4 linked regions of the Lepisosteus oculatus genome follow. The protein of the gene in region 4 purifies or fractionates together with the protein of the main gene of each other region. This does not show direct contact. Links are inferred from orthologs where the notes say so. Each region holds a gene or a part of one and is shown on either strand. Other genes may lie near its edges.

Evidence for each region.
Region 1: the proteins of ddx39b (region 4) and hnrnpua purify together in Homo sapiens (affinity purification with mass spectrometry, with the first as the bait; 3 studies listed by BioGRID). This does not show direct contact. The link is inferred for Lepisosteus oculatus from reciprocal best matches to the Homo sapiens genes DDX39B and HNRNPU.
Region 2: the proteins of ddx39b (region 4) and specc1la purify together in Homo sapiens (affinity purification with mass spectrometry, with the first as the bait; 3 studies listed by BioGRID). This does not show direct contact. The link is inferred for Lepisosteus oculatus from reciprocal best matches to the Homo sapiens genes DDX39B and SPECC1L.
Region 3: the proteins of ddx39b (region 4) and dhx9 purify together in Homo sapiens (affinity purification with mass spectrometry, with the first as the bait; 3 studies listed by BioGRID). This does not show direct contact. The link is inferred for Lepisosteus oculatus from reciprocal best matches to the Homo sapiens genes DDX39B and DHX9.

The regions. Positions count from the first base shown.
Region 1 is NC_090697.1:23,072,061-23,079,299, forward strand, and holds the start of hnrnpua (heterogeneous nuclear ribonucleoprotein U), read right to left. Parts: upstream 3,009-7,239; 5' UTR 2,836-3,008; coding exon 2,292-2,835; intron 1,139-2,291; coding exon 1,024-1,138; intron 1-1,023. Other genes in the region: efcab2 (dynein regulatory complex protein 8), read left to right, coding at 5,289-5,313, 6,017-6,101. UniProt on the Homo sapiens protein: DNA- and RNA-binding protein involved in several cellular processes such as nuclear chromatin organization, telomere-length regulation, transcription, mRNA alternative splicing and stability, Xist-mediated transcriptional silencing and mitotic cell progression.
Region 2 is NC_090717.1:9,929,526-9,936,376, forward strand, and holds the start of specc1la (cytospin-A), read right to left. Parts: upstream 3,001-6,851; 5' UTR 2,883-3,000; coding exon 2,845-2,882; intron 617-2,844; coding exon 424-616; intron 1-423. UniProt on the Homo sapiens protein: Involved in cytokinesis and spindle organization. May play a role in actin cytoskeleton organization and microtubule stabilization and hence required for proper cell adhesion and migration.
Region 3 is NC_090704.1:7,602,316-7,610,192, reverse strand, and holds the start of dhx9 (ATP-dependent RNA helicase A), read right to left. Parts: upstream 3,008-7,877; 5' UTR 2,960-3,007; intron 2,909-2,959; exon of another isoform or gene 2,810-2,908; intron 2,226-2,809; 5' UTR 2,208-2,225; coding exon 2,097-2,207; intron 1,726-2,096; coding exon 1,585-1,725; intron 1,502-1,584; coding exon 1,369-1,501; intron 1,101-1,368; coding exon 961-1,100; intron 670-960; coding exon 521-669; intron 458-520; exon of another isoform or gene 1-457. UniProt on the Homo sapiens protein: Multifunctional ATP-dependent nucleic acid helicase that unwinds DNA and RNA in a 3' to 5' direction and that plays important roles in many processes, such as DNA replication, transcriptional activation, post-transcriptional RNA regulation, mRNA translation and RNA-mediated gene silencing.
Region 4 is NC_090709.1:41,005,875-41,013,704, reverse strand, and holds the start of ddx39b (DEAD (Asp-Glu-Ala-Asp) box polypeptide 39B), read right to left. Parts: upstream 3,001-7,830; 5' UTR 2,897-3,000; intron 1,671-2,896; 5' UTR 1,663-1,670; coding exon 1,446-1,662; intron 937-1,445; coding exon 809-936; intron 1-808. Other genes in the region: polr1h (DNA-directed RNA polymerase I subunit RPA12), read left to right, coding at 3,401-3,569, 4,322-4,462, 5,501-5,604, 6,399-6,508. UniProt on the Homo sapiens protein: Involved in nuclear export of spliced and unspliced mRNA. Component of the TREX complex which is thought to couple mRNA transcription, processing and nuclear export, and specifically associates with spliced mRNA and not with unspliced pre-mRNA.

The sequences.
Region 1 (7,239 bases), on a different chromosome or scaffold from region 4:
GGTAAACATTCTAAAACACTACAAAATTCTGATGTGCATGCTTCTCAAATCAGGCATTGCATAAATGAGAATATAAATGAGTATAAAAATACTCAACATGGCCTGCTTTTCATGCCACAGTTAAAATCTCTTGTGATCTGAAATTAAAATTAACCCCAATTTTAAAGAAACAGACACATTTATCAAATGGGATAGAAATACAAAATGAATTACCCTACCTTTGAATTACTGACCCCTACATTAAGACAGTTAAATGAAGATGATGTTTTAAGACGTAGGCTTCCACATCGCAAAGAACACGAAGGATTAAAACGAAGACAGCCACATAATTAAATACATGTTTAAGAAAAGCTGATTGTTAGTTCCGCACTTTCACAAACATACGTCCATCAAAGAAAAGCAAAAACGTTCTGGTTAAGCAACCTAATCTGAACCAAAGACGACAAAATCGACATCTCGAGTTTAAAAAAAACTTCTCAGATTTGTAAACGATCGAAACGTCTCATCCCCATTCCTCTTTAAAGCGACAAATTCAATTTCTAACGATGCGCAGGAATTTGACGGTGACGCTGAAACTATAATGAACTGCGTTCTCGAAAGGGGTTGCATGTCAAAACTCAAGGTCCGTCAGAAATGCCTAGATGAAAAGCATGGATAAACGCGCCATTTTAGTCGCCTGCATCCTCAAGAACAGATCGATATTCTTAAAGCAAAAAATAAACCCTTCGCTCCCCACTACTTAATCTGCAGATGACTCAATGTAAGTGAAACTGTTTAGATAAGACTATTACCCCCCAAATACACTAACCGAAGACCCAAAGGGCAGACGTCCTTCTAGCAGAAACCCTACATTATGCGAGCTGAGCCCCCGCCCCCACCCCCACCCTGCCCAGCTGCTCTGGTCTCCTCGGCTTTTCTTTGTTACCCCTTTTACAGAGGAGACCCAGGGGCATCCGTGAATCCGTGAGCCATTCACTTACGCGGTGGCACTTCAGATTTAGCGAAGGCCACCATGGTCCTTACCGGCTGTATTTGCTTTCTTCGATAAATTCAAAGTAGCCCCTTCCATGTTCTTCACGGCGTCTCTTTACACCCTTCTTATTCTTCTGTTCACCTTTCTTGTCTTTATCAGCGTCTCCTTTGAAAAATAAAACACAACATGAAGAGGGATACCTCAGCGTTTGAGCCGAATTGTTACATGGCGGCCACAAACTGCTGCATGTTTTTGTTAAGACTACAGCGCGTTTGGTCTTTTTTTGTGACAGAGAAGACCAAAATTGTAAAGACATTTTTTTCCAAGCTTTATGAACATTCCTCCTCCCCCCCACACCATCGTTGCTCTCCATGCCGGTCAATGTACACGGCATTTACTACAAACAACGCATTTCAAGTTTACTTTCTCCCAGGAAATATTTGCAAATTGAGACCTTTCTCGCCGTTAAAAGCTCCAGCCTGGTTTTCCCAATAAATAGACCCGATTCCCAGTTCAGACTGCGTCTGAAATACGTGGGCAATAAGCGCTGTACACGTTGATAAAATCGGATTTTAACCTTCCCTATCATTTTTCAAAACCGCTACTGCCCACTAACCGTTCAAAGGCACAGATTTAAAAATAAAAAAAATCAGTCCGGCGGGAATATGACGCCTCAAACCAGTCTAAATCTCTCAAACAAATCGTCCAAAACAAACAAAAAAAAAGCCTCCGAAAACTTACAGCCGACAAAACAAAAACGAAAGTACAGTAAAGTCCTGCCACTACAGGAAGGCACGGAACGGAAGGACTAGGCCCGACACGGCTTGAGCAATGTCAGACTGAAGCGCACACGACAGGCAACCGCGGGGAAGAGAGCTGGAGGAACATCCGAGACGTCGCGGGGGGACACAGCTAAAGCCGAGACAGATACACATCCGCAGGCCCGGCCCGTCGCCCACAGAACAATGGAGGCGAGGCGAGTCGCCGCCGCCGCCGCCGCCTCCGACCAGGGCCACCATTTCATCTCGCCTGGCAGCACCATGTGGATCTTTGTCTGGAAAGCGCCGACAAAACCACAAATAGCACCCCGCGTCATTCGCGTCTGACCTCCAAAACGCGTTTGCAGAAAAAGAAGAGAAAAAAAACGAACGCCCAAACTGCGCCTTCGTGTCCGAAGACAAGGCCCCTATCGAAGCACGTCTAACAATTGTTTGGCCCGTATTGTTAAGTAACAGCCATCAATTGCGCCTTCTGCTCCGACCGGCAGGGCTGGCGTAAACACGTGATGTTTCGGGTCTTAGTTAAGATGGGGACTAACCTTCAGCGGGCTGCGATCCTGGTGCCCCATCTTCCTCTTCGAATTTGTCCATTTCTATCCCGGCATCTTCATCATCCTCGGATTTATCCATTTCGACTCCCGCGTCTTCCTCCTCTTCCTCCCCCATCTCATCATCCTGCCCGCCGACATCTGCGCCACCGCCCGGAGCAGCAGGAGCAGCAGCAGCTGTGGCGGCGGCGGCGGCGGCGGCAGTGGTTTCGGCTTCGGCTTCAGCTTCGACTTCTGCTGCGTCCGCTTCGCCCCCGTCTTCCTCCTCCTCGGCCTCCATGCTCTCGCCGGCCAGATCGTCCTCCAGCTCGTCGCCCATCTCATCGAAGCCGCCCGCCCCATCCGATCCCCCCTCGGCCCCGTTCTCCTCGCCTCCGGGCCCGGTGAAAGCGCCACCGGCTTTGGCCTCCTCGTCGAGTGCGGCCTGCAGCCGGTCCATCAGCTCGGCCTTCAGCCCCTTGTCAGAGAGCCGGCGCTTTTTCAGCTCGTCCTTCAATTCGTTTACCTTTAGCTTCTTTACGTTGATTGCACTCATTTTTCCCGTTGGATTTCCGCTCGAAGCTCGGGGATATACAAATATTTTTTTTTTTAAAAGAAAGCCCTGTAGACAAAGTGATACAGAGAAAGCAAAGCCGCCTAGAATTTCTACTGCGCCAAACAACGCTCGTCCCTCTCTGTGCGTCTCTCCCACTGGCAGCTGCGCGGCTATCTAGCGCCAGTTGTACGTAATACACTCTTACCGTATTCATGCGAAAGGAGGGAGAAATTGGGCGGTGACTACCGTAATTAGCCGACAACTGCGACGACAGTTTCATTTGGTACAGTGTTATGCCTGCATATTTTTAGCTTTTGTTAGAAATGTATTAAAAGTTAAGAAACAAATCTGTTGTGCTTAGTAAAACAGCAAACCGGAGTTTATTAGCGTTTTAATTCTGAGGCTTTTCTAATATCAGTGCATGGTCCAGTAAGAATGCACGATCGTGTGCAAAGTGATCCAAGATAAAAAGCCGAAAGTATTTTAAATTCTACATTTTTTTTTTTTGCAGAGCAGAGATATTAGGAAAGTGCGATTGTTCCTTGATGTTTCTGTGAAGCACAACATATTCTAAGCGAATTTCACCAAGGGCCACATGTATTTCGCAATGTACAGAAAAGAAAGAAATAGTGCAATGTTGTAGCTATGCAATGTACAATAACAAATAAAAAAAAAACACGAGAAGACCATTTGCGCGTGTTATTCTGCATAATGCAGCGTAATAGTTTTGGGGGAACAAGCAGTGCTCCCCAATCCTCCGCTTGTCTGCATTTTAGTGGTCCATATATACTTCATCAGATGAGGCAAAGAAACGTTGTCAAATTATGTTGACAGATAACAACTTGCTTACAAGAAGATGATATTTTCTATTATTTTCACTCACATACATAACATGGTGGTTAGCAGTACTGCTTCGTTACTCCAAGGTTCTGAGTTGAATTCCATTTGGGAGCATCTGTCTGTGTGGAGTTTGCATGGTTCCTCCGTGTGCACTTGGAGTTTTGCAGAGTGTTCTTGTTTCCTCCCACCTTCCACCATTCAGGTTGGGTTTCTTTGGCTGCACTGAATTATCTCTGTACAGGGACTGAGCTCAAGGGGATTTCATACTTGAGAGGTTTGTTCTTAGTATTGCCAATGGGCTTTTAGAGAAACACAGACAACCAAACACTTCATCCACTTCAGGGTTGTGTGGGGGGGCTGGAGCCCATCCTGACAAGCAACAGGGAAAGGTAGGGTACACCCTGGACTGGACAGAAGTCAATTATAGGATGAATCATAGATACAAACAAACACACACTTACAACAACAGAGTCCATTCTCCCTGAAGCCAATTAACCTCCCAGTATGTCTTTGGACTGTGGGATGAAACTGGAGAACTTAAAGGAAACTCATTTGAACACAGGGAGAACATACAAACTCCACACAGATAGCACCCAAGGAACTGAACCAATGGCCCCAGCACCACCTCAACACACCATACAACTGTTTCACTTCAAACATTGAATAATGGAATACTACCATGAACATTTTCATATGAAGGTGTACAGACATTATACAGTATTTGCTAACATATCCAAATCCCTTCAAAGTCAACTAAAATAAGTTTAGTTACTGAAGTGAAAAACGTCTTGAGTAGAACAGAAAAGTATATGATTTACACAATGTGTGGGTCAGTGTTGCACATTTCATTAAACTAGAATGCAAATTTATCAGAAACTTTAATGTTTGTGTAGTTTCTGTTTGATGCATTCAAAGAGACAAACCAATACTGGTAACTGGAAACTGGTAAATTGTCACAACAGACAAGTGTTTATGTGACATTTCAAGTATAAATAAGTATCAGAAAATCAATACATTGCCACACAAGGCAGCTTAAAATATGAATTAAAAAGTATTTGTGAATTTTGTCCTACAGTTGTCATTCAATGGGGAAATATTCCATATTCTAACAACATTAGCCCAAATGTACATCAAAAACTATTTAACTGAATTTATGAATGTATCTTAAAATATCAATTGCTAACATATTTAAATAAGGTGATTATTTTATTTACATAGTTCAATTAATTTGTCCTCATAAATTTGAACAGCAGACATATTTTCTTTCGAAGAAATATACTGTTTAGAATTAATTTCCTTTACTAAAACGTCGTGTTGGAAATTATAAATACCTTCGTTGGTATCATTGTTTAAATTTCTCAATTTTTGAAGAAATCAGTCGTGCACCATATTTACATTCGTATTGATACATTATTTTAACTTTCAGTAGAACGTATTTAGATACATATCCTGGAAAACTTTTTTTATTGTTATTGCAGATGCCAATGTACCGTACAGTTTACTAATTGCATAGAGCATGTTTTAAGGATCCAAAAGTAAAGTTGCTACAACTGAAGTCTTGAGGGGAGTTGGGATAGCATTAGGTCTCCTAGCAACTGGAAGAGCAGTGAAACATGGCGGAAGACAAGGATACCGCAGGTATTGTAGCACCACTACCGATCTTTAGTTTTTTGTTATAAAATACTTTCAAGCATGTAGCATGTTTGACCTTCTCCGAAAAATACATTTTTGATTAATTTTATAAATGTACAAATAAGTGTCTGCGAAAGACATGATAACGTAGGTCATGCAGATTCACATAAACGTTACCTGCAAACTTCACTAAGTAAAATCTTGTTTAGTAGTGTACTTAGTTTTACTGAGCAAACCGTTCTGAGTACTGTACCTATTTTTACTGATCAGACGATTGTTTTGACAGGCACATTAGAAGGAACGTAAAAACGATTATGTTTTATTGTCTACCCCACACTCAACTTTCAAACTGTTGAGGGTCTATCAGTAGAAAGCAGTAGCAATAATTAGTCACATGTACAGTGTTGTTAATTTAATAGAAAGTTCGATTAGGTTCTATTTCGCGATGAAATGAGATGAACAACCAGCCATATGATTAAACCATATGATTACAGACGTAAATCTTACGATTCCTTCAGTCGTTTTGCTTTTTGACTACTGTAGTCTGCATTGTTTAAACAAAAGTAGTTTATTATTTAAAATGACTCCTCTTCACATAACTGTAGTCATTTTGGTATGTATTATTGGACTTTGAAGGTTTTGTACTGCAGGTAGAACTGAGACTACTTCAAATTAAAGCTTGTTGGCACATTTTATTTTTGCCTTTTAGACGCAATACTTGCTGCTGTTCAGAAAAAGATCAGCGGCGCTTTTGACGTGTTTGACCACGAGTCCAACAAGACGGTGGATGTGAGGTTTGGGCAACAGATAAACGATGCATTTCGCGAATTGCTTTTCTAATTTTTCAATGGAAAGAACCCATAGATCTCAGAGCGGCAAAGGCAGATACAACATAGGTTTTATCTTTAAACGTCATGTTTACGTTTAGTTAAACGTGATGAATATTTGTTATAAAACAAAGTATTTTGTAATGACAAATGGGTATCGCCACACCAAGCTTTTTCCAAAGCAGGGGGTTACATAGCTTCAGCCTTTCTGGGAAGTTTGCTCTAACATAAATCTAGTCTGTTTTATTAAATAATGTTATGAAACAGTCAGCCTGCTCGTGGGAATAGAACAGGCTTTAAACCACATACATCTTTTGCTGTTAGTTAACATTTTTGGTGCATATAAAATTTCATTAACAAGCAAATGATTTGAGCTTTTTTTTACATAAAGCTTTCACATACAGTATGCACATTTGTAAGAGGTGGGGGACATACCGTATCTATGATGGAAATGTCACAAAGCACGGGAGCGTTTTAGGTGCAGTATTCAACGCTCAATCGATTTTAACTAGACGTTAATAAATCGGTATCAACGTACTGTAGTACTGTACCTCACTTGTTACTCACCTGCGCTTTTCAACCAATGGGTGATTTAACACCGGCAAGGGTGTGACCGCTATCACGATAACGAAAAACATTTTTTGAATTTATATAGAATTTATATAGTATAAGGATACGTTTTCAGTATCGTTATCACTTGTAATTATACACATTGTGACATTTTGTTTGATGTCATTTTAAATGAAATATGTTGGTGTTCATTTTATAAGAATAATTGAACAGGTACAGTATACTTCATTGCATTGGTGTATGATACATTTTAATCAGAATGCAGGTAGTAAAATCGCAATGTATCCTGTTTTTTGTAGGAAACATAATTCAGAGATTTGTAATATTTTGTTTACGTAGAGCAGATGTAGAGGTTTAAACAGATCTAATGTTTTTCATGAATTAATTTAGCATAATCTAAATGCAATATAATTTTAAAATGAGTGTTTTTGGAAACCTCATATGTTAACCAGTACTTAAACAATCTTGTGTGAAATTCTTATTCAAAACGCTTTGGAGAACACCCATTTTGTGTAACAAAACTAACAAATAATGT
Region 2 (6,851 bases), on a different chromosome or scaffold from region 4:
GGTGTATATCCTACAGCATTCCTAAATTCTAGCAGTGTTACAATGAGATTTATAGCCCACACACAGCTGTGGTCACCCGAGTTATTACCATGAACGGCTGTTTATGAGTGACCATTACCAATCGGATTGGGATCATAGAAAATATTTCTACCTATGGCACAGTGGCGGTTCCTGATTAAGCTATCCCTGCCTTTCAGTTACTCCTGAGGCGTCACGTACAACAGCAGGCGTCTGTTTAAAATGCACTCAGGCCAGGTCAGGAGCAACGACCCCGGGCCAGAGTCAGACTTCCACAGCACCACCCTGAGAGGAAGACAGCCCCGATTCGGGCCCTGTGACAAAGTGTGAAGAACCAGGAAAGAAAAGTGGAGATCGAACCTCCGCACGCAAGCAGAGGGAGGGGAGCCCCTCGTCCTCCATTACCTTGGAGAGTTGGGGTGCAGAGGCAGCCTTGGCGGCAGTCTTCACAGCCCCGGAGCCCCCCGAGCCGCTGTCGGGTCGCCCTCTGTCCCCGCCCGGGCCCTTACTGCCTCCCGCAGCCTTGGGCGCAGTGGCCGCAGACCTGCTTGCTTTCTTCATGATGGGCTCTCGACTTCTGATACATTTACAGCGCAATCTGTCAAAGGCAAGACGGGAGAATCAGTCGGTTTAACAACATTAGCCTTCTGCGCTCAGGGTCTGTACATCATGGCCTCTCTTTATACCGTATCCTTGTTTATTTAGCAATATTACTTCGTCCGACAGTTTTGCAATTCTGTGTGAATGCATTGGCCTGTTTTCCGATTTGTTATTGTCTGCTGCGCCGTATGAGGTTATGAACCCCGATTCTGCCCGGACTAGAATGCAGTCTTGCCCTGCCCACTAGGGGGAGCCAAAGGAGGGGCTTATAGTTTGTGCCTGTCCGCAGCCAGTCGTTTTTTTTACTCTGCTCTCAGCTGCTGCTTAACTCTCAGACTTTTCTCTAAGCTGCGTTTCTATGCTTTCACAGTATTTTGCTTGCTGGACAGAGCTTAGCTTTAAATTTAACTTTAGATTTCCATAATATGTCATTTCATTATCTTTGTGAACACCTTTCTCTTAGTGCAACTCCATCCCCGGCAAGTTTAGCACGCGCTTATTAAATCAACTAACATAAAAACGGCTTTGATCTCTTCAGACAGGGCTTGTCCAACATTCTGTCGTTTGTTTTTAAGACCAGACTAGCCAGGTCATTCTAGTCCTCACACAGATTTTACAGGATCTTTGTCATTACACAGTCTAATCCACGAGTTTGTATTTTTAGCTCCCTTCTACAACCAGGCACAACCTTGGGATGGTCCACTAGGTGGCAACAATAGGCCAGATCTGCAAAAGCAAGAGAAACTATTGGAAGTGTATTGTAATCAAACAACCAACTTCTGGCTACCTGAGCCATCTCCCGCTCTGAGAGAGAAAAGTCGTTAAAATATCTGCACAATAACAAAGGACAGTAGTAAAAAGCCAGAAACAATGTTTCTCTATAAATAAATTAAAAGCTACTGCAGAATAGACAGTGGGTTCGTTATTCCCATTTTTCTCATTACAGAACATACGTAATGTACTCCCTGTGCCCAGCTGAAGAAAATGGAATAGATGGGGTCCGACCATGATCTTATTGCGTGAGCTTTGTAGTCATCTACTATATTTTGCATTGAATCTCTGTCATTAAAATGTAAGCCTTGTTTCTTTGGTTTAAAAAATTGCAAGCATCAGCAGGGCGCTCCTATAGCGCGTAAGATCTCAAGTGCCTTTCAGGTGAAAGCACTGTTTGGCTGCAGGCACGCTGCCCTAGGTTACCATATTGTTTTTGCTGTTTGCCCAAGAATCAGAAGACAACAGAACGAAAATCCACCTGTCAGTTGCAGGCTTAGCCTAATGTTTCTCAAAACGTGTAAGGCAGAGTACAAAACAGTGGCTGCATCTGCAACCTCTTATGAGTCGACACCATTGGCTAATATACATTTTACTGCCAGATTAAAAGCAGACAGGAAAAAATTGAAGCTGCTGAATTCCAGACAAAATTAATGGTCTCAAAGCCTGGGGAAAAATAACTATGATAAATATAATATGCCTGAAGAGACAGACAGAGTACAGGGGGAGGGAAGAAATTACACTTTTCAAAGCCAGGCTCTCTCGGAACATAAACGCTGTGCGATCTAATTGGTTAGAAATGGATCCGAAGCCATGGGCTTGTGAAAGTATATGTCAGGCATACTTATTTATGGCAATGTAACTTACACCATCTTAAAACAGTTTAGTTCTGCATTTTCTTTCCATCGTTGAAGCAACATCGATTTCTGGAGCTCTAAAAAATCATCTGGAAATGCTACAGAGGCTACAGTACAAGAACTGCCAGAAATGTATGAAGGTCTTATCGGAGATCCATGCAAATTGGGACATGATTTCACTGCATAGGGTGCCATTCTTTGTAAACCATTACTGTAGAGTGACATTACAGCTCGACCTTCCCCGATCCCATGAATCCTTCTCAGTCCTGCCCTGATGGGAGAAGGGCAAAAATCATTTGCTCCCATTTTTGTAGTAGTGCTACCAATAGAAAACATTTCTCCAATCTGATTACGAGGCACTGTTTGGAAAGAGTACAGTTAATATCACAAAGCTGAAAAGTCCACTAGAGAGATCTCAGACACTGCACAAATATTTTAAATTTTATTGGCAAGGAACCATTATGGAAATAACAGCCTATATACAAGCAAAAAAATGAAGTCTACACCAGATAAGTATACATATTTTGCTGCCCAGTCTGTAGGAGAAGTATTTAGATTACCTCTGCCACAAGGATTAATTAAGCATGATGGAATTTACCTGCTGGCTGCAGACGTTGCTTTCCTTGGAGAGCACATTGGAACACAGCACTGCTTCCCAGGATAGATCACAATAAATAAGCAATGCTCTCCAGCTCAGGGAGTGCGTCTATATACACGAATGGACCAGGACATAACCGCCGCTGGCGAGGATTTGAAGAAACACAACCTGTCTCATTGGAGAGCTGTCTGGGACAGCCATGCCAGGCAGGCGGAGCTGGGGGCTCCTTAAAAGGATCTAAGAGCTGTTGAAGCCGAGGAGCTGATAAGGCAGGCCCAAGCTGTACAGGATAGCACAGTGAGGGCAAAAGAATTTGGGCAAGACACCTCTCTGCTACATGCCACTGTCGTCAAAGTGGATGAAAAAAAAGGGGGCCTTGTGCTTTCTCTATGGGTATGAACACACTCACCCCACTGAATGAAGCTCTGATTCCTGTTTCCAGTTGTAAGAACTCCACTTTAGACTGGCATGGCAAAAGGAGGCAAGGGTAAATACCCTTGATTAAAATGTCAAGGCAAAACAAGGCATTTCTATCTAACATGGCAAAGCGACTTTGCCATCGGCAATCCAAAGTTGATGTCTTGAAGTTGGTCTACTTTACACGTTTTAAAAAAGATTGCAAGGACATAACTTTCACCTTTGAACACATGCACTTAGACGTTCATCATTCTAATATTGGGGCAGCTTTCAGTTGATGGGTATGCTCCAGGTACAGAGCCCAAGCCTTCGGGAACAGGCATAGTGTGCGATACACATTTTAACCACCTGTCTTGCTGCCCCATTTGTTTCAGGAGGAATGTTGGTCTTCTTGCATATACTGTATTAATTATCAGTTTGTGAGGAAAGCAAATGAAGGAAACTAATGTACCTGCAAGAGAAGAAAAGAACTCTTAACTTTTTTATCTTAACTCTTAACTTTTTTAAATTTTATCATTATCAGATGCAAAACAGTATTTTCATCAGAAAGTAGGCTGATCTGCACTCTGATGTGTAACCGGAATAACCTGACTAATAAACACACAGGGGAAAAGAAACCATTCATGGCAACTTCTCCCTGGGAACACTTTTAGGATTAATGGAGTAATTGTTTCAATTATTAAAGGCTTCTCATGGCTAGAATTGAATAATTGTTGCCATAACCGAAGAAACTTTTTCAAAGCTCCTTTTTCATGCAGTTTTGTACATTTCAGTGTGTAGTGGAATGCTTTGTACTAAACCTCTGGTTTCCTAGCCACACTGAAATGTTAATAGTGCGCCAATCCACTTACAGATCTTTAAGTAGTTAAAGGTAATATGGGTCAGGATGGTTCTGAAAAGGCAGAAATCTGGACCAACTTATGAATTAACATAATTTCGAGGTATGAACTTTGGATTTATAAAGAGCAACAATAACTCTTGCTTTGATGGAAAATTAACCCAGATCATTGAATGTACAGTAGCTGATTTGATCATCTTGGTTTCTTCTATCAGTTTACAGTAAGCCAGCATAGATGCCATTCATCTTTGTATCAAAATTACAACCATCCCTATATCACCACAATCGCTTTCATTTCGGTCTGTGTGTGAATAATCTCTTGCACCGAACATTCAAGTTTTCTTTTTAAATCCATTTTTTAGCTCTGAAGTCCCTGGGAATGAGTCAGTACTACCAGCAGGGTTGGAAATGTTTTTTTTAAAGGACTGACAAACACTGGACTTAGTGTATCATTACCCATGACGCCCTGGAAGCACAGGGAATGAAGGCAGAGCCTGCGCTGTGGTGTCAGATTCAGGCCTACAGCAAGGCTGCACACATGGCCAATACCTCCACAGATGCCTGGCAACATATCTGATGCACTGCGGGTGCTGTCATTGGTAGCATCCGATTTTTCTGACCAAGAAATGGAAAATATTGGATAGTGGGAGCCAAGTTTTGTAGGCCTTTCGGTGTGTAAATATGTCACAGATTTTTCCACATTGTACTGTACCTCTCCATATAATATCAGTAGACGTGGTAATTGCACAAAGCAAACATTTAGGCTTGTGAAGTGGTAAAATAAGTGCTACATACCGTTTTCCAAAACTGAGACGAGAATTCAGAGCCCTTTTCAATGCCAGTCCAAATCACCCCCACATTTTATGATAAGTGAATGACATTTAACATACTGCAAAATCAGCTTTGTTTTTGGTGTTTTACTTTGTTTTGGGCGTTTTAAACAGAGTTTAAAACAGGCTTTAAACAGATTAACAAAACAGTATCAACAGCAGTATTGGAATTTCTTCATGAACAAGGAAAGCAGTCCTTGAGTTTACCAAGAATAGTTGGTACTGTATCCCAATAGAATCTTGCGCACTGTACCTGCAATATCTGGTCACTCATCTATTATACTTTCTGTTTTAATTCTGAAGATCCATTATATTCCATACATAAAACCAGAGCTGTCTTCTTTCAGTAAGTCACAGACCATATGCAGACAGCGCCTTATTGCAATGGGACAACCCAAGCTTTCACGCTGAATCTTGTGAAGCCCAACTCATTGAAAGTATTGCTTCCATAAAAACAAAAACAAAGCATTCTGAAACCAGGAACTGCTGTGTTTTCTACAGTAGCAGAAAGCACTAAGATCACCAGACAAGGAAGTTTCAAGCATGTGAAGACAGGTATTTCACCTTTCAAACAGAGAAGTCTTTTACATTTGCATTGCTAACAGCCTGTGGGAGCTAAAGAATTTCAGTTCAGTAAAAATCATGAATAGTACAAATATTTCCAGAGTCTGTAGACAGGCTATGTCGGTTATGGAGATAGACTGGATGCCTTCTGAGGTGAGAGATTTAGGGCTACAGTAGACTTGTATCACTAACAGGAGACATCCGACAGAAGTCTTGTTATATTTTGTCTAGAGTTTTAAAATGAAAAATAAACCTATCCTCACCCTCACTGTGACTGGAATTCCTCACTAAGAACCCCCAGAGGAGTTCACAATGTCCCTGAGTTCACTCTGTACTCACGATTTGTTTAGATAAAAGAAAATAAAGGGTGACCTAGAGACATAAGGCCAGCTTTTCTTAAAATAAAAGCTTGTGCTTAAAGCCTCCTGGCCAGTCCAGCCTATTCTACAGAAATGCCAGTAACTTACAAAATCAAAACTGTGCTGTTATCTCATAATCAAACTAAAATCATCCCAGTACTGACACGAGTAGGGATAGCATTTCATCCCTCAGCATTAGCCACTCTCAAGAGCCTGAGAGAGCTGAAGCGTTTCTCATGCCACACATTCCTCTACCTTGGAATCCTACTGCTCTTACATAGACTAAAGCATTTTACACCATCCAGACAACACCTTCATCTACTTTTGTACACATCAAGGCTGACAAAAAAACCTGGAACAGAGTCTCAGTATTTGAGTCTACTGAGGGCCCCTTTAAAGGATAACTCTGAACAAGACTTGTGTACATTTATTCACTTCTTACCGGATATCCAGGCTGTTAAGCACATATGATAACCTTTTTTAAAATAAGTTTCTGTTGTCCATTAGCAGTTATTGACAAATGGGCCTAGTTAGCAACTATTACAAGTTTTGGGTAAAATCGAACTTTAGGAATAATGAAATTCTTTTGAGACTTGAATTGAGTGAAGCCCTATGCCCTCCTCAAATATACACAGCAGACAAAAGACCACCCCAGAAAACAACAGTATTCACAGAAGGAAAACAGGAGAGGCCCATATTCTTAGACAAAAGTTCAGACATCATCATATATTCGAAGCTCTACAGGAACCAATCCTGCAAATAGCTATAAATTATTCACCTCAGCAGAATGAAGCTTTCCTTTGCCTGCGCTCTCCATTTAAGGGATTGTCTGCCATTTCATTTTAAGGGAATTACTAATGGGTCAACAATCATGTTTAATTTAAGATCCTGCATTGTTAAGTAAAGCCTAAATCTCTGCTCCTTCAACTAAAAATTGCTGTGAACAGAAAGTTCCATCATTTAACACTGATGGGAGAAAATGTCACAAAATGACTCAGT
Region 3 (7,877 bases), on a different chromosome or scaffold from region 4:
TGCCTTACTTTATAAATCAGGACACTTATGTTTTTGCAATTCAAACCCAGCTAACCCTTTCACATGCACAAAAGAGTGGAGACAGTTTGATTTAAGGCTTGCCCACCTAGGACATTATCAATTCACAGAAACACTGCAGCTTCAGCAGAGCAGCATACACATTTCAACACTTTTATGCAGATACAGAAGCCGATGTCTTAGAAAAACACTAAAACTGCTTCACAGTAACTTAGCCAAAAAGTTATAACTGAGTTTAAATGCATTAATAAGATCATAGTGTTATATAGTCTTAAGAACTCTTGACCTGCCAAAACTAAAAGCTTCTAACGCTCCTCATTTAAATAACTTCATATCATCATCACATTTGCATAACAGAGATGCTGCCATAACATTTTTCACTATTCACTCAAAGCATGGTTCACATAACACTAGTAAAAGGTGAAAAGCTGAATATCAAAGGAATGGACAAATGACCAAAAAACATTTTCTGACAAAAGAACCTCCAGTGGATCCCCCAGACCTGTTGTGGTCAGGCCCAACTTGGCTGTATTTGTAGTCTGACTGGTTCTTTTCCTTCTGAAAGAACTGGTTCAGACGGGCTTTGGCATTCTCTAGAGTCCAGTTACCATGAAGCCCAGCATTCAAATCAACTTCTTCAGACTCGAGAGTCTACAAGACAAAAAAAAAAAGCAGGAGTTACTGGTAATAATGGACATCTGTGTAACATTTAAAAGGAAAGGGTTATGGAAGCACCTTCTCTATGGAAAGTCTGAAAGGAAATTTGACCCATAGCTTTATAAAGATTCTCTAGAAACTAATCTCATGTCAAGTATCATAAAGTTACTTACATTAGACCGAAAAAATAGAATGCATCAATGTTTTCCTTTATTAAATGAAGTTTGAAAACCATTCTGTTAACCAGCTTGGAAAACTGCAGAATAATGGATTAATAAGGCTTACTGCTTGTGCTTCTTGTTCCTCCTTCTTTGAGTAGTAATCCTTAAGATTGGCGCCACGATCCCACTGGGCATTGTTAAAACCAGAATAGCCCAAACCAGTCACCCCTGGAACAGGTCCCGAGCTAGGTCCTGCTTCAGAACCTGAGTTGTGTACAACGAAGTTTTCCTGGTCAAATCAACAATCATTTTACCATATCACTGTCCATCAGTTTAGTATATACTGTCACTATACTGTTAATAGATGATACCATTAGCACTACACACACACTTTCTTTTTTTACCTATAGAAAACACTATTAAGCTCTAATTATCCATCTGCCAGCCAAGTGGCAGTCTGATATGTTCATATGACAACCACGTGTAATCAGTCCCCATTATTACTTGCTCCAGGGATCTCCTGGCATCTCACCTTGCTCAGCCTTTACAATCAGATGTGGAGGAATAGGTCCGTTTGGAGGCAGATTTCCAAAGCCGCCGCCGCTGCCTGCACCTGCTCCTCCCCCTCCTCCACCATCAGGACAATCACTGGCTGGTAAACTGGCCTTTAAACCAAAAGAAAACATTGGGATAAAAGCAACTAACCAGTAACCTTAACACCCATTTACAAATACATTCGCCTACTAACCCCCAATGCAGGGACGTCACTAGCATTCACTTCCCCCATACGGACAAGGTAATTGACGAAATCTCTGGCAGCGTTGGCTTGAGCATCCTTCTTATTGGTGGAGTTTCCCATTCCAGTGTAGTTGAAACCCTCGACACGGACCTGAGAGGACACAAGTGAATTAAACTGCACATTTTAGCGGCAATCTGACAACACGCAAGCTTCCCGAACCACTGATCCGTTTTAAAACTGCTGGAAGTCTAAAACAAAGCAGCCATTGTTAAAGAGAAAGAAGTATTTACATTTTCCTAATCCCTATTTTTGGTCTTGCTGATGAATTATTTGTCAGATATTTGAAGTAGGTTTAAGAAGATGACTCCGAAGAAGCTGTAATCACCTATAAAGCAGCAGGATAAATGTAGAACCATCCACATATTAAGGCTAACCTACTTGTTCTGCCTTGCATTGAAACAGATCATACAGAAGTCAACCTGAAAAAAAAAAGTACACAGGACATACAACAAGATGCATACCTCACACATAAATTTCTGTCGGTTTTTGTTTCCAGCTGCTCGAATTTCATAGTTGGGAGTGACTTTCCTCTTTCCACACCAGGCGTAAAGGAAGTTTTTAATGTCACCCATCGTGCGCTGACAATACTCCTGATAAGTGTAAGAATGAAATGTTGACAAAAAAAATAACATGGAACGGAAAAATCAGAAACTATGTATATATATCACTAAAAGTGTGAGTGCACGTATAAAATACATCTTAGAATACAACATTTTCAAAAGATCAATTGAAAACTCCCACTGTGCGTGACCGCAGTACTCAGTGCACACTAAACACTACTGTACTATGTAGACATTTTCAAGATCAACACTTTTGCTGTGCTACTGCTGAGTAGCTGATGAGGATTTTGCATGTGAATAAACGATGAAAGCTTAAAGCACAATTGCCAGAATCGTTTTTGGCTCTGTAAAAATGAAGCATTCTTTCAGTTGGACCCATGTTTTCTACATTATCTGCACGTACTCATGCCCTTGTAAAACCTCTTGCGTGTAGAGTTTAGGTTTGCACAGACAAGAAAATAAATCTAAATGAAGGTGCGGAGCGTGGCACCTTCAAACATATCTGAAAACATATTGCTAACATTGCTATCATATCATTGAGTTACAAAGCAACTGAAATGCAGCACCAGAGTATCGCAGTGTGGTATGCAGAGACACAAAAACCCGTATCTCACCAGTTAATAGAGGCTAACTCGCAATTACCGGCTTGAAGCTATCACAATTCATTGAACAGTACAGCTTCACTGGATATTTGGTATCTTTCTGAATTGCACACACATTTTCACGTCTGCAAAACAGAATTTCAAGATAAATGGCCCACAAACCTGTATAAACAGTCGCAAAGGAACCCACTTCCTCACCAAAATACAAAATGGCCGTCCCGGAAGCAAGCTATAATATCGGGGGCGGGGCCATCCAGTATTGGACCACGGTCTTCCAGAAAATAAAGTTATCGTATTAATCAGTCTCACCGTAAAATCTAACCTTAAGACTGTTAACCGCAGCAATATGGTGTAAAAAACGCCACACGTTGACCGTCTGTGTGCATTATTTGATAGACATGGTTGTGGCAAACATTTCAAAATTTAGGACGTTTAGTGATGTAGTGTTCCTTCTATATAGGGAATTTGTGTATCATTCAAGGTATAAATTGTTGCCGAGCAATATAAATTTATTAAGGTAAAAAGAAAACTTGGTACTTGGAGAAAAGGTACTTTATTTAGCATTATGTTTACACTTTACATTCTCATGTTTTGTAGGATACAGACCTTTTTAATGTCTAATTTGTGCACGCAGAAGGAAAGGGCAGAAGGCAGGTTTTTGAAAAAATGAAATTCCAATAAAATGTTTTTTTCCCCGAGGTCTCGTAGAATATTGGCCCATGTTTGCATAAAGTTCGAGTGAATTTTAATCTAGATGTTTAATAGTTTTGGGATTTTTCTGCTTTTAGAATGACCGTGATCAAATTGTTATTCTCAAAGTTGCTGAGATTTCGAATATAGAACTATTCAGCCTAACTGCATTTAATAGAAAACAATAGCTTTAGTACCCTGATGCAACTCAGATTATACAAAGTTGAATTATCTGTCAAACCCCAAATACTGTTGTAGAATACATCCATGCGTAAATATGCAAAAGTGAAACCTATAGCTGATAATAGCATACAACCGTTTACACGGATTAATATGCCACTGTATATTGACACTTAAAAAAAGGTTGTTAGACTGCATCTTCAAAACTGCATGAGCAGTAGTCTTTCCGCATGTAATTGTGTGTGGGAGGACCTAGGGAATTAGCAATTCATACCGTGCAGATACTCAATGACACCTGTAGAGGTCTCTCTGGTGCTTGGGACATTCTTGAGCCTTCAAAGTCCATATTTGCTTATTAAATCAATTTATCATTTTACCGCATTTTCATTACACTACCCTGCCAGTGAACCAGCATGGAAACGTGGGTGTACAAGTTTTACCTGTTTACTGGAATAGTCTTTGTAAACAAGTCCTTATAAATTAAAATCACGTACCCGATCTGATGTGATCCAAGCATAGACAGCTTTTTTTTTTCTGAAACTGTTCCTGTTAATTTGGTTCAGGAATATGTTCTGAACAAGGAAACTACAATGTTGCGCATATATCCCCTATATAATATATAATATCACGTATGAATCAATCGCTTTTTTTGTAAATGAAAACTTTAGCATGGTTTTTACTATTATCTACCATCTTAAATTGGTCCTTTGGGATGAATAAAGTATTGCAATTGTTTGCTTACCTTTAAAATTATTTTTAAAAAACTTGAAAACTTTGGTAAAAAAAAATGAATAACGCCTTCCCTCAACTGCCCATGTTTTAAAGTAGATTGTGGTCTGGGGGACGGAGCCCCAGATTAAGGGAGACGCGTTGCCGTGCAAACCACACCTGGCCTGAATAAGTGGAATGAACGGCAGGTGTGGGAGTGGTTTAAAACGTCTTGAAAAGAGAAAAAGATGTAACAGGGGTTTGGTCTTGCTGTAGTTATGGTGGTGGTGGTGGTGGTGGTGGTGGTGGTGGGACGAGGACGAGGACGAGGACGAGGACGAGGACGAGGACGAGGACGAGGACGAGGACGAGGACGAGGACGAGGACGAGGACGAGGACGAGGACGAGGAAGAGGACGAGGAAGAGGAAGAGGGAGATTAGCTTTCCCCGAGTGTGGATGCTCTGCTGTAGACTGGGCGATGTCTGAAGAGTGCGCCGCTTTGAAGGAGTGAACTGAGGCTTTATTAGCCGCTGTAGTAAACCCCGTGATGGGCTGGAGAAGAACTCCATTTCCAGATGGAGTTGTGAGGGAAAAGAGTAAGACTGTCAGTCTGGGAGGAGACTGATTAGAAGAAACGGAGCTTTATGAGATCCCTGAAAGATTCAAAAGGACAGCATCTTTCTAGGGTGTGAGAGCAGGGCTGTTGTTGTCCGCTGGATGAGTGAGTTGTGATTTGATTAGCGTGTGTGTGCGTGCACCAGAGTGGCTTGTGTGGTAGAGGGACTCTCCCCCTGGTGATGCATTGGTGTTGGGGCAAACAAGTGGGGTCTATCTAGCTATACCCTCTAGGGAGATAGTGCAGTGGTGGCTGGGCACAGAGTGAGGTGTGCTGGCAGCTGTGAGTTCAGCATGAGGATGTCAAGGTGTATGGGTGTGGGTGTGGGGCGGTGAGTCCAACAGGATGAACTTGGTCACCTTGATATTCTGAAGCAAAGGGACTAGAAGTAACAGAAGGTGGAGTCTTGTATCCTGTTACTCTGATGAGGGAGGCCAGTGTGATCACCACTCTTGAAGGAGAGTGTGTGTAAAGAAGAAAAGGAACCCAAAAGAGCTTTTAAAAAGGGCTGGGTTTGGGAGCCTGCCCATGCCCAAGAGGGTGTCCACAACCCCTTTGACACCACAAGAGTGAGAGGGGGTCAATATGATTGTGGGAATATTTGGTACACTTCTCAAAATAGGGGGGGGATACCTTTCAAGAGGGCTAAAGTCCCCCCTCATATGTAGTAACTGTTCTTTGGAACTAAGCCTTGGTTGAAGATGCATGTTTCTGACAAAATCTAGCTATATGCCATTGTTATGCATTGTGTATCTCATATCTGTAAGCATTAAAAATGCTGCTGTGCTTATATTAACAAGGCATTCATCTTATCAGAGTTACGAACTATGAAAGGTAATGTCTCAGAGGTAGGCTCATTTTTTATTTTTTATTTTCCTTTAATGTGGGCTTAGTTATCTATCCCAAAAGCCAGATTTGGTTTCTGTCTTCTAGACATATTCATTTATCATCTTTGTTTAAGGCAGTTATGACATGATATGCCTACGAGATGGATTTTCCTCCTATACCCTTCGAAGAAATGATTAATTTATTCAATTTCAGCAAAACTGAGTTTTATCAATTCTTATTCCTCCCACAAACTTTAGTTATCAGGGTGCCATCTCAAAAAATAAATAAAAATAAAGATGAAAGGACAGTTAAAATGTAAATGCTAGGAAATGAAGACTGCAAGAAGTCTGTAAAAAAGAGCAATCCTTAATCCACTGCTGAGGGAAATGTGCTCTCCTTGATCACCATACCTATTGAGCACAGAAATGGACAGTTAAAACTGCTGATACTTGATGAATCCATTTTAAATGATTTTAGCTAAATACCTGATGTATACTATGGTTTAAGGAATTAGCTACTTACTACACAATAAGCTAAATGGGTTGAATGTCCTCTTATTATGTTCAAAAATGGCATTGTGTTTTGGAATAAATTATTCCATGGGCTACCTCATTACATACCAGTAGAATACAACTACACTGTATGTTTACCTTTATGAAATGAGTTAAACTTGTTTGTATTGCTTCTGGTTTATATAATACTAAAGATGTGTGACTTGAATGGTTTTCTGTGTTCTATGGAGGGTTGTAACCCATATTAAGGCATTTCATTTTCCTAATTTTGGACTTTTTATGCTGTTTCATCTGCATATAATGCTGAACAAAAAATTAGCTTAATTATTATCTCCCTTGCAGGAAGGTGAAATTATTAAGATGGAAGTATGTGGCAACTACATTTAGCAGGCTTCCTGCAGCATGGAGGGGTTTTTCGTAAAGCTAGTTTGCATGTCCACACACATTCCCCTGGAAAGATCAAGGCTCTCGCTGGAAGGATGCCCAATCATTAGTCTTTCTGCTAATGGCCAAGCAGATTTAAAACAAAAAATACAATTAATTCGTCGGTGCGCATATTATATTTAGTTCCAATTTTTTTTTTCCTGAAGTGTTACAAAAATGCAACTTCCCTGTACCCCTCAACAACAAAACAAATCTGACAAAAACAGCCAGTGGCTTGGGCACCTCCGAGCGGTTTGACCTTAGACCTGAAGTCTACTCCAAACAGGCGCTTTAAAATAATTGTTCGATGCGAATCTGAGAAAGGAAAATCTAACCCTGGATTCAGAATCGGGCATAAATGCAAACAATCCATTAACATTTTTCTCACAGGTTATAATGTTGTACTGCAGCACAGCACATTTCACAGTGTAAAGCCGATCATTCCAAAGACTGATTTTTTTTTCCCTATTTCTTAAATAGAATCCATTCATTTTACTTGCACTGATGTTAAATTAAGTTTTTAACCACAGAGTGTTCGTTATATGCAAGTAATCTTTGAGAAAAAGGTCTATGATTGAGAATCTTTTTTGGAATATAAGAGAAATGATCTAAACCACTTTCTGTAAGTATACAAGGGCACTGATAAAAAAGATGTCACTAGTATACTGACCCCTGAATATATTATACTCCCCTAATTATCAGCAGTTCTCACAGGGCATTTTAATTTAATCTGAATATTCAGAGCTGCACATGCATACATATAGTATGCTAATCTCTTTCAAAGCAAACACAAATAATGTTGGGTTTTGGAAACACTTCTCAATTTTTAATACTATGCTAATATCTAAAAATGTTTCTGTGGGCAACTAGTAATATGCTGTTTTTCTGTCGTCTTAAAAAAAAAGTCTATAAAATACATTCTGGAGGTTACTACTTTAACACCTGCAGTTAGTCTCACTGTAAGCCACCTGTGTATCATTCTGATATCCACAGGAAATTGAAGGGGTGAACTGAGATTTCTTCCAAGTCTCACCAAGTGGCAAATGGAACTGTGACACAAGTACATTCACTTGGATGAAAACCCAGTTTTGACTAATACACAGAAGTGACCACAGAAATTGG
Region 4 (7,830 bases):
GAGAGGGTATCGCCCATGTCCAGTCAAAAGCTACAGAGAGAGACAGAGGGGAATATACTTATTGCAGTATCAGACCCATCACAAATTCCAGAGACACAGACAGACAACACACACAGAGACTTTAACAGCTCCTGTCCACAGACAGACAACACACACAGAGACTTTAACAGCTGCTGTCCACAGACAGACAACACACACAGAGAGATTAACAGTTCCTGTCCACAGACAGACAACACACAAGAGACTTTAACAGCTCCTGTCCACAGACAGACCACACACACAGAGACTTTAACAGCTCCTGTCCACAGACAGACAACACACACAGAGACTTTAACAGCTCCTGTCCACAGACAGACCACACACACAGAGACTTTAACAGCTCCTGTCCACAGACAGACCACACACACAGAGACTTTAACAGCTCCTGTCCACAGACAGACAACAGACACAGAGACTTTTAACAGAGTGACACGCTCCAGAGATTGAGAGAGATAAACGGACAGAGGCAAACATCGTGAGAAGGAATCAAGGTTAAGACTTTGCCAGAAACTACATCTCCCAGAAAGCACTGGGGGGGATGGTGGGGGCAGCCACCCTCCGCCACCTGACCAATTGGGAGGCGGGCCACTGGTCAGGTGACAGTGGAAAACCAGGAAGCGGAGGCGGCGGTGGCTGATACGCAGGAGAGGGCTGTTGTCTGGGCAGAGAGGCAGGTGGAATGGACCCGAGAGGGGGACCCAGGGATCTCGGGACTGGACTGGACTGGACTGGACTGGACTGGACTGGACTGGAGAGGCGGATCCGGTACCTGCCCGGTGACGGGCTCCAGCTGCTGCAGGGTGGCCAGCACGAACACGGCCGTCTTCCCCATCCCGGACTTGGCCTGGCACAGCACGTCCATTCCCAGGATGGCCTGCGGGATGCACTCGTGCTGAACTAGGGGGGGGACAGGGAGAGGGGGGAGTCAGGAAGACAGAAATACAGACTCGCTAATGGAACAGAGCACAGCATAGACACTGCGCTGGACACTGCTGTCTGGACACGGCCCTGGGACCCGCTGTCTGGACACGGCGCTGGGACCCGCTGTCTGGACAGTGTGCTGAGCCCTGATATCTGGACACCGTGCTGAGCCCTGATATCTGGACACTGCTGTCTGGACACCACACTGAGCCCTGATATCTGGACACCACACTGAGCCCTGATATCTGGACACTGCTGTCTGGACACCACACTGAGCCCTGATATCTGGACACTGCTGTCTGGACACCACACTGAGCCCTGATATCTGGACACTGCTGTCTGGACACCACACTGAGCCCTGACAGTGACAGTGGCCGTGTCTCTGTGAGAGTGGCCGTGTCTCTGTGAGAGTGTATGTGAGATAGGGTGTGTCTGTGTGAGGGTGTCTCTGTGAGAGTGGCTGTGTCTCTGTGTCCCTGTCTTACCTTCAGACGGGTGCTCGAACCCGCAGTCCACGATGGCCCTCAGGAGCTCCGGTTTCAGCAGGAAGTCCCGAAAGCCCGAGCTGTGGATGGACACGTAGGAGCCCTTCACCTCCTTCTTGACGGGGAGCAGGTCAGCCCCGTCTCCCCCACCTCCACCTGCCTCCACCTCGTCATCCTCATAGTCCAGGAGCTCGTTATCAACATCGTTCTCAGCCATGGTATTACCTAGAGGGAGAGAGAGGGGCTAATACACCCTGACTGGACACTCCAGTACACTAACACTGCACTGAGAGAGAGAGGGGTTCATACAGACACACTGACTGGACACTCCAGGACATGAACACTGCACTGAGAGAGAGAGGGGTTCATACACACACACTGACTGGACACTCCAGTACATGAACACTGCACTGAGAGAGAGAGGGGTTCATACAGACACACTGACTGGACACTCCAGTACATGAACACTGCACTGAGAGAGAGAGGGGTTCATACAGACACACTGACTGGACACTCCAGTACATGAACACTGCACTGAGAGAGAGAGGGGTTCACACAGACACACTGACTGGACACAGCAGTTCCCTAAACACGTCTGGTTAGTGATCCCCACAGGAACAGACTGCCATTTTTCACACAGGAGTGTTCACAGCTGTGCGTGGCGGAACAAGGAACCTTAACAGAGTGTCTCGCCACCCTGTTACTCATTTAGACGAGAACATATGATCTTTTAAATGCAGACGTGGATCCGCACTCGTTCAGGACCTGCAGTCTCTGAATCCAGCAGTCCCACTGAAGGCGGTGTTTTTGCGGTCACACACGCACGAAGATCTGTACAATAGTACCGCCAACCTCACCGTGCTGTGGAGGGGACATCTTGTCCCGGGACAAACGGGCTCCGACAACAACCAGCCCGTCGGTCCCTTTCGACCGATCGAGCAGCACGACTGACAATTTCCAGATCCGTGTTTTTTTTTTTTAAACTAGCGGATGTAAAACCGCGCCGGACGTGAGCGAGATCGGGGCTACACGGGGGATCACCCCCCCAACTCCCACTCCCACGGACACGCGAAAGCTCACGGGACGGGCTCAAGCCGTGTCTCCGGACCGGACCGGACCGGACCGCGGGCACCCCGAGTGGGTGTAGGGGCGTTAGGAAATCCGATTTTTTCCCGTCTGTTCGAGGTTTTTTTTGTGTGTGTGTGTGTAAAACTACAATGGCCCAGTGCGGGTTTTTTTTTTTGTTCTTTCAAAAAGACGGGCCCAGTCGCGCCACCCAGCAAACCGCCCTCACGCGAAAAACAAAAATTCCCTTCGAGAGAGGAGTCACGCCGACCAGCACGGAGAAGAGGCGGAAGAAAGCGGTTTATGAGGAGAAAAAAACCCGCAAACGGCGCGTTGAGAGGAGGGGGCGGGTGGTGGTTTTTAACCGTGAAATAAAACGCGTTTACCTTCGAATGGTTTCTCCGTCTCTCGCAGCAACGACTTCGGGGCGTTTGGTGACGTCACTCGGGTGCGCCGGCGCCGCGACCCACCGTCCCCCTCCCTCCCGTTTTCCCATGATGCACTACGCGCAGGACTCCCGTCTTTTTCCCCTCACAACCTTTTATTTGTTTTTTTTTTTCCAAACAAAACAGAAAGGGTGTTCACAAATAAAAACGCACAGACACAGAACGGCACGCGGCCAGAGGTGATTATAACCTAGCACACAATCAGTGAACATCTTTACAGACGTGAGGTGTGTTTTTCCGGGTTTTTAATGGAAATAATGTTTCGCTTTCACCATACAAAAACATTGACGGAGGGAGAAGCCTCAGATAATTTTGTTTCTGATTTCTACCCAGACTATTAATAGATTCATGCATAAATGTTCTTATATAGTTCGTATTACTATAAAAAGCACTTAGATACGGACACTATAGAATAACAAAACAAAGACAAAAAGTGTTTTTTAAATGCCGGCGCGCATTGAACGTCACTTCCGTTGCCGGGCTGACGTCATGCGCCCCAGCAGTCCGCAGCCAGGAAGAGCTCTCGACTGTGTTTGTGTTCTGCGGACGACACGTGTCTCGGCGCAACAGCGAGGTGAGGGCGACAGCTACCCGCGACTGACCTCCGATCACGGTAGGGACCCCCTGATATAATGCGGAATAGGCGTTATCTGGGACGGTTACAAGGACTCTTAACTCGGCGGATGGTTGTTCTTAAAGACCAAGTTGGAACGGCGCCTACAAATAGCGAGTAAGAGACCGGGTCTGACGACCTACAGGATCAGTGACCACAGCCTGGACACAGACACTGGTCACAGGCAGACCTGGCTGTCCAGAGAGGACAGGCTCAGTGACCACAGCCTGGATACACACACTGGACACAGGCAGACCTGGCTGTTCAGAGAGGACAGGCTCAGAGTGACCACAGCCTGGACACAGACACTGGATACAGGCAGACCTGGCTGTCCAGAGAGGACAGGCTCAGTGCCCACAGCCTGGATACAGACACTGGACACAGGCAGACCCGGCTGTTCAGAGAGGACAGGCTCAGAGTGACCACAGCCTGGACACAGACACTGGACACAGACAGACCTGGCTGTCCAGAGAGGACAGGCTCAGAGTGACCACAGCCTGGACACACACACTGGACACAGGCAGACCTGGCTGTCCAGAGAGGACAGGCTCAGAGTGACCACAGCCTGGACACACACACTGGACACAGGCAAACCCAGCTGTCCAGAGAGGACAGGCTCAGTGACCACAGTCTGGTTGTAAATTTTAAAGAGGCCAGGTTGTTCTCTGATAGTGGAATTTAGTCTGGGTTTCGAGAACGGGGTCGTGGCGGTGCGCGCCGGTCGCCCCGAATTGATCGGTTCCCCTCCGCAGCAATGTCAGCAGACGCCCTGCCCGGCTCCTGTTTCCACGGCGACCCGCTGTTCTGCCCGGAGTGCGGCACCGTGCTGCCCGTCCCCGGCGTGGAGGACGTGGTGAGCTGCCGGCGCTGCGGCTACGACATCGGCGTGAGCGGTCAGTGGCTCAGAGCAATTGATTGATTGATTGATTGATTGATCGATTGATTGATTGATGGATTGCGTTTCCCTGTGGGTGGCGCTGTTTGGCACCAACTAACCTTACCAGACCCCTGGACTGACTGGACCAGAGTCACAGACCCCTGGACTGACTGGACCAGAGGTCACAGACCCCCTGGACTGACTGGACTGGGGACACTGACCCCTGGACTGACTGGACCAGAGACACAGACCCCTGGACTGACTGGACCAGAGGTCACAGACCCCCGGACTGACTGGACCAGAGTCACAGACCCCCGGACTGACTGGACCGGGGACACAGACCCCCGGACTGACTGGACCGGGGACACAGACCCCTGGACTGACTGGACCAGAGACACAGACCCCTGGACTGACTGGACCAGAGGTCACAGACCCCTGGACTGACTGGACCAGAGGTCACAGACCCCCGGACTGACTGGACCAGAGGTCACAGACCCCCGGACTGACTGGACCAGAGTCACAGACCCCTGGACTGACTGGACCAGAGGTCACAGGCCCCTGGACTGACTGGACCGGGGACACAGACCCCTGGACTGACTGGACCAGAGTTACAGACCCCTGGACCGACTGGACCAGGGACACAGACCCCTGGACCGACTGACCCCTGGACTGACTGGACCGGGGACACTGACCCCTGGACTGACTGGACCAGAGTCACAGACCCCTGGACTGACTGGACCAGGGACACTGTCCCCTGGACTGACTGGACCAGGGACACAGACCCCTGGACAGACTGGACCAGAGGACACAGACCCCTGGACCGACTGGACCAGGGACACAGACCCCTGGACTGACTGGACCAGAGTCACAGACCCCTGGACTGACTGGACCAGGGACACTGTCCCCTGGACTGACTGGACCAGGGACACAGACCCCTGGACTGACTGGACCAGGCACACTGACCCCTGCTCCACCTGTGTGAGAGGGGATTTGCCCCAGGAGTGTGCAGGGCTCAGTCCCTCAGGAGTGCCCTCTCTCCCCCTCTGTGCTGCAGAGCTCGCTGACCAGGTGGTCACCTCGTCGGTCGTCTTCAACAGCCTGGAGTCCAGCAGCACCGCCATGATGTCCGAGGAGGAGGGAGAGCTGAAGGGCCCTGTGGTGAGTGTCCTGGGGTCGCTGGTCCCTGACCTCTGACCTGGGGTCAATGGTCACTGGCCCCTGACCTGTGTCCTGGTGTGGCTGATCCTTGACCTGTGTCCTGGGGTCACTGATCCCTGATCTCTGACCTGGGGTCACTGGTCACTGGCCCCTGACCTGTGTCCTGGTGTGGCTGATCCCTGACCTCTGTGATGGGGTCACTGGTCCCTGATCTCTGTCCTGGGGTCACTGATCCTTGACCTGTGTCCTGGGGTCACTGATCCCTGATCTCTGTGATGGGGTCACTGATCCTTGACCTGTGTCCTGGGGTCACTGATCCCTGATCTCTGTGATGGGGTCACTGATCCTTGACCTGTGTCCTGGGGTCACTGATCCCTGATCTCTGTGATGGGGTCACTGGCCCCTGACCTCTGTGATGGGGTCACTGGTCCCTGATCTCTGTGATGGGGTCGCTGGTCCCTGATCTCTGTCCTGGGGTCACTGGCCCCTGACCTCTGTGATGGGGTCACTGGCCCCTGACCTCTGTGATGGGGTCACTGGTCCCTGACTTGTGTCCTGGGGTCACTGGTCCCTGACTTGTGTCCTGGGGTCACTGGTCCCTGACCTCTGTCCTGGGGTCACTGGTCCCTGTCTGCAGTTCTTCTGGGTTCTGAATGGACCAAGATGGACTGACACGCTGGGCCCTGATAGGCTGCCTTGACCCCCCTGGCCCTGCTGAATCCAGGTCCGCACACTGACGGTGGGGGGGGGGTGACCCCTGACCTATGACCCCTGACCCGTGTCTCTGCCCCCAGATTGACCGCAGGTGCTCTCGCTGTGGCCGGGAGGGGATGGTCTACCACACCCGACAGATGAGGTCCGCCGACGAGGGACAGACCGTCTTCTACACCTGCACCCACTGCCGGCAAGTCGATCAGTCACCCGACCAGTCTATCGAGTCGATCAGTCACCCGACCAGTCTATCGAGTCGATCAGTCACCCGACCGGTCTATCGAGTCGATCAGTCACCCGACCGGTCTATCGAGTCGATCAGTCACCCGACCGGTCTATCGAGTCGATCAGTGACTCGATCAGTCTATCGAGTCGATCAGTCACCCGACCAGTCTATCACGTCGATCAGTCACCCGACCGGTCTATCAAGTCGATCAGTGACTCGATCAGTCTATCACGTCGATCAGTGACTCGACCAGTCTATCGAGTCGATCAGTCACCCGATCAGTCTATCCAGTCGATCAGTCACCCGATCAGTCTATCAAGTCGATCAGTCACCCGACCAGTCTATCGAGTCGATCAGTCACCCGACCAGTCTATCGAGTCGATCAGTCACCCGACCGGTCTATCGAGTCGATCAGTCACCCGACCGGTCTATCAAGTCGATCAGTGACTCGATCGGTCTATCACGTCGATCAGTCACCCGACCGGTCTATCGAGTCGATCAGTCACCCGACCGGTCTATCACGTCGATCAGTCACCCGACCAGTCTATCGAGTCGATCAGTCACCCGACCGGTCTATCGAGTCGATCAGTCACCCGACCGGTCTATCGAGTCGATCAGTCACCCGACCGGTCTATCAAGTCGATCAGTGACTCGATCGGTCTATCACGTCGATCAGTCACCCGACCGGTCTATCGAGTCGATCAGTCACCCGACCGGTCTATCGAGTCGATCAGTGACTCGACCGGTCTATCGAGTCGATCAGTGACTCGATCGGTCTATCACGTCGATCAGTCACCCGACCGGTCTATCGAGTCGATCAGTCACCCGACCGGTCTATCGAGTCGATCAGTCACCCGACCGGTCTATCGAGTCGATCAGTCACCCGACCGGTCTATCGAGTCGATCAGTGACTCGACCGGTCTATCAAGTCGATCAGTGACTCGATCGGTCTATCACGTCGATCAGTCACCCGACCGGTCTATCGAGTCGATCAGTCACCCGACCGGTCTATCGAGTCGATCAGTGACTCGACCGGTCTATCGAGTCGATCAGTGACTCGATTAGTCTATCGAGTCAGTCAGTCAATCGGTTGAGGACAGGACAGGAGGCTCTCCTGTACACAGAGGGGGGTGGGGGTGGGGAACAAGCCGCCCAGTCCGTGTGGTTGAAGCCGATACCCTGGCTCCTCTCCAGATACAGCTGGGTGAGCTCCTCCAGTCAGGACAGGAGGCTCTTCTGTACACAGAGGGTGGCGGGGGTGGGGAACAAGCTACCCAGCCCTGTGGTTG